2 linked regions of the Rattus norvegicus genome follow. The protein of the gene in region 2 interacts with the protein of the main gene of each other region in a biochemical or structural test. Links are inferred from orthologs where the notes say so. Each region holds a gene or a part of one and is shown on either strand. Other genes may lie near its edges.

Region 1 (3,650 bases), on a different chromosome or scaffold from region 2:
AGGACTCCTGACCGACCATTTTCAAGGACTTTAAGCATCTGTCTAGAACCAAAAGCCACCCACTAAGACACGATCTAAACACTGTCTGTTAGCGGCCTTGCTCACTCGTTACACCATGCTGTTGAATTCCAACCGTCTCTCAAGTCAGACAGGCTGCAAACTGCAAGTGTGCAGTTGTTTCCCATTAGATAAACAGATAAAAAGCAAATCTTACATTCATAATGTAACAAACACAAAGTCTTCAGATTCCCAAATCACAATTTCATTGTCTTTAGTATCATTAACTCCCTGGCTTCTCCCAATCCTATTATCACACATGGTCTGGTTTTTCCAGAGAGGACAAGCAAGCATACCTTTCTTCCCTTCAGAGACCTGAGCTTTCACAAAGCCCAACCTGGATTCTGTAGGGAATTGGCCAGCCCTGCTTTTAGGCTTCTTCCTCAAGCCCACTTCCATTCCGCATTGAAAACTCAAAATGGAGTAAAAGGGAAGTTTCCATAATGGTGCTAGAGAGTTAGGGCATTGGCTACACCTGCCCAAACTAGAAGCTAGAGGGCTACTACTCAATTACAAGATAACCATGTGGCGAAGGGAGGGGAGGACTCACACTGTCATTACAGGCCTCTTTATAGCTTCAAGGCCAACTATGCTCTCTAATAGAATGTTGAGATGTGAAAATGGCTAAGAGTGGGAGGAAAAAGGTAACATGATTTTAAACGCACACACGCACGCACGCACACACGCACGCACGCACACACTTTAAAGATCTCAATACTTCAAGTGGCCTGAGCCTATTTCACTCTTGGCCAAAGCCTACCCTCCCGCCCAACCTGCACACATTCCCACCCTCCGACCCCCAGTCATTGCTATGTTCCTCATACACACAGCAAAATCCCTTTCCCCTTCCCAATTATATATAAAAAAAACTAAACAGATAACTTACTTTCTTTAAATTATTTTTTAAAAGTCTCTTAAAGATTTGACGTTTAAATACTTCCTCTCTTCTGATATGTTAAACCCCAAAAGAATCCACACTGCTGGACACGCCCTCCACATTCCAGTTCTGGCGAGAAGAGGGAAGAGAACTACTCCAATCAACCTAGTTAGGATGAGGAGAGGCCATAGCGCGTTCTTAGTCCTCCTTCACAGCTTCCACACAACCCTACCTCTCTAACACCGGTACCAACTACAGGTGTAGGAGGCAGCAGATGTAATAACTGAGGCCCTCCAGCACCCCCCACCTGTCTCAAATAGCAATCTATTCCTTAGGTGACATATTTCATAAGGGATGTAATTTTCGTAGTCTAGTATCAGTAGTCAAAACAAAAAAGAAAAAAACAAAACAAAAAAGTGTTTTTTGTTTTTGAAGTTTTTGCCTTTTTTTTCACTTAGGAAGAGGTGGAAGAGGTGGAGGGGGCTCTGACGGGAGGGGTGGTGGCCGAGGTTTGTCTGTGTTGCCAGATCTGGAGATGCCAGCAGCTCTCGGATTCATATATTCACCATAAGAATGGACAAATTCAAATGCAGGGGGCTGAGTGGGCTGAACACCTTGGGCACTAAGCAGGGAGTGGAGCATATTCACAGTATCTTGATAATCTATTGACTGAGTTGTGTTGTGACCGTTAGCCCCAGGAGGGCCTTTATCCAGTTTCACATGAGGAACTCTGGTTTTACAGCTAGGCTGTGAAAAGGGCAGGCCACTTGTGTCTGAGCTATGCCCAGGCAACTGGGTCATTGTAGGAAGAGGCGGGAAGGGGAAATTCAAGGAAGATGATTTAGTACTCTTGGCAATCTTGGCTGGATGATCAAATACTGCTGCCCCAGTCTCTTCTGGGGGCCCCCTTTTACGAGTAGAGCTTGAAGAAGACAAAGTACTAGACAAGCTATAGGTTTTGTGTGCTAAGGTGCTTGTCTGGCTGCTGTGTTTTGGATCACTTGGTCGTTTGCTCACAGGGCCAACTGGCAGCTGTAAGTGAGAGTGCTTGTGTGAGTGGTGGTTGTGGTGGTGGTGGTGGTTAGACGGGTGAGTCCTCTGCTTCTCTTTGTGCTCTCGGCTCTTGGCAACACTGTCTTCTACAGAGTTGTGCTTGTCACCTGCAGAGTGCACTTTAATGCGCATTTTTATCTCCTCCGGTTTTGAAGAGGCCGCTTTATCTCCACCAGCCACTGGGAGTCTCATTTTCAGGGCTGATTTGTCAGCCTTATCCAGAAAAGGACGTTCAGGATTTTCTGAGCCCTCGATGGGCATTTTCAGAATAACTGAAGAATGGCTGTCATGAGATAGGAGATTCTGGGCAGCATATGCATACTGTGACTTCACATTGGCCTCCATGTTCTCCAGCTGCCTCTTCTGAGCAGCCAGCTCTTCAGCGTGCTTTGCACGGTATTCTTTAAGTGAAACTTTAGCTGATGGCACACTCTTGCTAGTCTGCTTCTGGGAAACAAATGCATTCGAACCATCATGTTGCAAGGAATGATCAACTCCAATAAGTGCTAAATTCTCACTAGTCCGATGACCCTGAGAAGCCTCTAGTTTAAAGGGAGGTTGAGAAGACAGCCACCGCTCGCCTTGCAACATGTCCACGCTAGTTAGACTGCTCGAGGACTCTTCAGAGGCAGGCAGGGAAGGCACTGCACCTGTAGACGCGGCTGACATGCTCATTAAGCCTGCGATAGTTGTGTCTGAAGAGGTCTGAGAAATCATATTGAGAATCGTCTGCTCCGATGTGTTTTCATCCGCTCCCCGGTCATCCGGTTTGGTTTTCATGGCAGCCTGGTATGCCTAGAATGAAGCAACAAGCATTTTACTAAGTTGCAATACACGGAAACAACACCTACAGAGAACTTGTTCATGGCTTTTTGTTCCTTTGTTGTACTGGAGGTGGGTTTTTGTTTGAGACCAGGCATATGAGATCCTCCTGCCTCTACCCCTGAGTACTTAAGAGGCACTCATTTACACCGAGAAAAGGAAGCCGATCTTAAACATTCAGTATAACTGCCTAGGGCTGCGGCCAGCCTTTAAATAAGTTCTAGAAAATTTGTGAGGCTTTGTATGAAAAGAAAAGATTTAAGAAACTCTAAGCTTCTAGAGGCAAAAATTATAATTCGCCAAACTTACAATTAGTCTGAACTAATAAAAAATAAAGGAAATTTCTATGCATGGTGGTGCGTGCTTGCAATCCCAGCACTTAACCCCAGGACTTAAACCAGAGGCAGAGGCAAGAGGATCAAGAGTCAAGGTCAGCCTCCTAACAGCAAGGCTCAAGGCCAGCCGGAGCTCCAAGAGACCTTATCTCAGAGGAGCTGGGCAAAGGAAGGATCTAGTCCGTCTCTGAGTGCAGGTGACTGAATGCAGGGCCTTGTGCATGTGAGTGCTTCCAAGTCCGTCTGACACTGGCGGGAAAGGGAGGGACTCTTTCTTATTCATAAGACTAAGACATCGGCATCACAGCTCCACTGCAACCCACTGAAGAAGAAAGCCCTGGGTAAAGACCCGGCTCAGCAGTTAAGAAAACTGCTGCTGCTGCTGCTGAGGAGTTCTGTTCCCAGCAGCTCTAGTGGCTCACAACCACTTAACTCCTGTTCCAGAGGATCTGACACCTCTGGCCTCCACAGGTACTGCATGCACACAAATGCAGGCAAACACTCAT
Region 2 (3,750 bases):
ATACAATAAAATTATAAAAACAAAAAGTTAATTAGTCTTGGTGACACAGCTGGGTGACAAAATACCTGCTGGTATTTGTGAGGTTCTAGCCCAAGAACTAACTCCCTATACACACACACACACACACACACACACACACACACACACACACACACAGAGCCCCCTTCCTCGCGCTAAATTTAACAAGATGTAGCTCAGTGGCAGAGCTCATACTTACTGTGTACATCATACTTAATGCGTACAAAGCCCTGAGTTCTATCACCATTATTAAAAGAAGGCAGGGAGGGTCAGGCATGGTGGGGCACATCTTTAGTCCCAGCATTTGGGAGGCAAAGGCAGATAGAGTCTGCCAGCCTGACCTACATAGCTAGTTTTAGGCCAACTAAGGTTACATTTAGGAGATCCCATCTCAAAACAAAACAAAAAACAAAAAACAAAAAACAAAAAAAAAAAAGAAAAGAAAAAATATATAGCCATATGACTTACCCCTCTCTTCCAGAACTCTCCATTCAAATGTCACTCTAACTCACTGTGACCAACTGCTTGAAAGTGCAGCTAGGATCCTCTACTCCCTTTCTGTGCTTGGATTTTTCACCAGAGTACTAGAAAGGATTATCTCAGGCCACATATCCTTATCCTTAATTCACAGTTTCAGACAAGATGTGAATAGATTTCAGATTTCAAGCGGTTCAACTCAGGAGGCAGACGAAAGCAGATCTGAGTTCAAGGCCAGCCAAGCCTAGAAACTCTGCCTCAAAAATGCAAATGAGGGCTGGAGAGATGGCTCAGCGGTTAAGAGCACTGACTGCTCTTCCAGAGGTCCTGAGTTCAATTCCCAGCAACCACAAGGTGGCTCACGACCATCTGTAATGGGATCCAATGCCCTCTTCTGGTGTGTCTGAAGACAGCTACAGTGTACTCATATACATAAAATAAATAAATCTTTAGGGAAAAAAATGCAAACGAATGGACTGGAAAGATGGCTCAGGACTAAGAGCACTGACTGTTCTACCAGAGGTCCTGAGTTCAAATCTCAACAACCACATGGTGGCTCACAACCATCTATAAAGAGATAGATAGCTACAGTATATTTGTATAAATAAGTAAATAAACCTTAAAAAAAAAAAAAAGGCAAACGAACAATTTTAAAAATCCAAAATATACGTATTTCAGATCTTGGAGGATTTTTGGATTATTTGCACATACACAATAAGATACCTTAGGATGGGACAATACATGAAATTCATATATGTGAAATTCATATATGTGTACAGTAATCTAATACAGTATTTTTAGTGCACAGTGTCTTGACTTTGACCTGTCACATGTGGAATTTTCCATTCGGGGGCATCAATACAAGACTCAAAGTTACAAAATAATTTGGATTTTCAGATTAGTAATGCTGAACCTAGGAGTCTTATATTAATTGGCTATATGTATTCACATTAGCAAATTCATGTTCACTTATCAGTTGTCGATTTACATTTTAAAATCTGTTAACAGGAGCCCAAGGACAAACAATTGTGGCTGGCACAGAGTAGGCAATACGTATACACTTCTGGAACAACTGGGCATACCTAAAAACACAAACACGAAAGAATACTAAGAGCTGAGGCTAACTAGACGAGAGTGTGCACCTAGCATGGCCCTGAACTCAATCCTAGCACCGCAAGTAATAAAAATAAACAAAAAGAAGCAAATCAGATACGTGACAAAAAAAAACCAACGACGTCTGAACGCATCCCCCACCTTCCGGATCCTGTCCCTCTGCTCCACCTTGACTTGCACACTCGTCCATCTCTCCCGACAACCTGGGAGACCCCAGCCGTTCCGACTCCCCGGCTCCCATAGGGCCCTCTCTGCCCTGCCCGTCCCTAGGCGCAACGTCTCCCCTAAGAATCCTAGGCACTGACCTCGGCCTCCTCCGCCTCGCTGCTGCGCTCGCTGTCCTCCTCCTCCGAGAAGTTGCTGTCTTCGCTGTCCGACATCTTCCGCAACTGCAGAGGAAAACGGCGGCCTCAGCGCATCCCAGGACCCGGAGCTCCACCCTGAGCCTCAGTTTCCCTGCAAGTTCCACTGGAGAAGAAAATCCCCAGGCGCACTTCCGGCAGCCTGGTCCAGGCGATCGCGAACCCGAGTCCTTCCGCCTATGCCAGCTCGCACATCCGGCTCTGGCTGCGGCCGGTACACCTCCCGAGCCCCCGCCAGCCCTCCGGCCTACCGCCTCAAACCCCCTTACCGATCACTGTCCACCTGAAGCTTCCGCGCCAGCTGCTGATCACACAACGCCTAGCTGGCCTGAGCGCTCTCTCGCGAGAACTGGCGCGTTAGCCTCACCTAACGCGAGATTTTTCGGGCCTGCCCTGAGGTAGGCCGCTTGGATCCGCCATCTCGGAAGTGGCTAGAGTAGCTCGAGCGGACTGTAGAGCCGCCATCTTGAGAAGGTCGAAAGATAAGCGGCTTCTCCTAACCCAGGCGTGAATTGAGTAAACTGTTTATTCGTAAACCTTCTAAGCTTCCCTAGGAGGTGTCAGAGGTGACGGGACAGAGACTCGGCTTCACACCGATACCCTCGGCATTCTGAGGAGTTCCCCTGGATTTTAGGGATCCAGACTCAAGTTAAATCCGAATTCCTGGCGATGCTCAAAACAATCTCAAAACTTGTCAGTTTAGTGCAGAGCAGTATAGTATAGTATACTAACGTATACTAACGACCTGGTTTTGTTTGTTTGTTTTTTGATAGGGCCTTACTCTGTAGCCTGGCTAATTTGAAACTCCCTGAGATCCGCCCATGTCTGCTTCTGCCTCCCTGGTACTGAAATTAAAGGTGTGTGCCGCCATGCTGACAATTAAAACACTTTAGGGGGCTGGGGAGATGGCTCAGCGGCTAAGAGCACTGACTGCTCTTCCAGAGATCCTGAGTTCAATTCCCAGCAACTACATGGTGGCTCACAACCATGTGTAATGGGATCAGATGCCCTCTTCTAGTGTGTCTGAAGAGAAAAACCACTTTGATGCGGATTACGGATTTAAGATTGAGGATGGGCAGAACAGAAAGGCGTGTTAAGAGTTAGGCACAAAACTAGCAGGTTTACATAATTCAGGACAGCCAGAGTTACACAGTGAAACACTGTAACCAAACAAATCAAAAAACCTGAACAGGAGAAATGGTTCAACTGTCTGGAACTCTGGCTGCTCTGGGGTCCATTCCCAGCAGCTCACAACCCGCTTTCACTCGGGATCTAATACTCGCCCTCTTCTGGCCTCTGCCGACATTACATTCATGTAGTGCACTGACATCGTGCATACTTAATATCCACTTACATAAAAATGCAGGACAAAATAAAAAGGAAATAAATGCAGCATGCTTGAGCCACCGAGATGGGTCATCAGATAAAAGATCTTGCTGAGAGGGTTGGGGATTTAGCTCAGTGGTAGAGCGCTTGCCTAGCAAGCACAAGGCCCTGGGTTCGGTCCTCAGCTCCGAAAAAAAAAAAAAAAAAGATCTTGCTGAGAAGCCTGACGATCTGGATTTGATCCCTGGAACCTATATGGTAGAAGGATAAATGCCCAAAAGTTGTTTTCTGACCTCTACATCCATGCTATGGCATACATGAACCCCACGTGTGTGTGTATACATATAAACATGTGTATATGTATGTATACAATATATAATACATATATTTATATACATCTATATACACACAATATATGTTTAAAATTTTTAAGTCACATGCTTTAGCTAGATTT

Evidence for each region. The genes of interacting proteins can lie anywhere in the genome.
Region 1: the proteins of Supt5h (region 2) and Ccnt1 form a complex in vitro, tested with the Homo sapiens proteins (2 studies listed by BioGRID, with this or other methods). The link is inferred for Rattus norvegicus from reciprocal best matches to the Homo sapiens genes SUPT5H and CCNT1.

What each region holds. Positions count from the first base shown.
Region 1 is NC_086025.1:131,569,291-131,572,940, forward strand, and holds part of Ccnt1 (cyclin-T1), read right to left. Parts: intron 2,783-3,650; coding exon 1,385-2,782; 3' UTR 1-1,384. UniProt on the Homo sapiens protein: Regulatory subunit of the cyclin-dependent kinase pair (CDK9/cyclin-T1) complex, also called positive transcription elongation factor B (P-TEFb), which facilitates the transition from abortive to productive elongation by phosphorylating the CTD (C-terminal domain) of the large subunit of RNA polymerase II (RNA Pol II).
Region 2 is NC_086019.1:92,742,133-92,745,882, forward strand, and holds the start of Supt5h (transcription elongation factor SPT5), read right to left. Parts: upstream 2,314-3,750; 5' UTR 2,240-2,313; exon of another isoform or gene 1,998-2,239; 5' UTR 1,989-1,997; coding exon 1,914-1,988; intron 1,578-1,913; exon of another isoform or gene 1,484-1,577; intron 1-1,483. UniProt on the Homo sapiens protein: Component of the DRB sensitivity-inducing factor complex (DSIF complex), which regulates mRNA processing and transcription elongation by RNA polymerase II.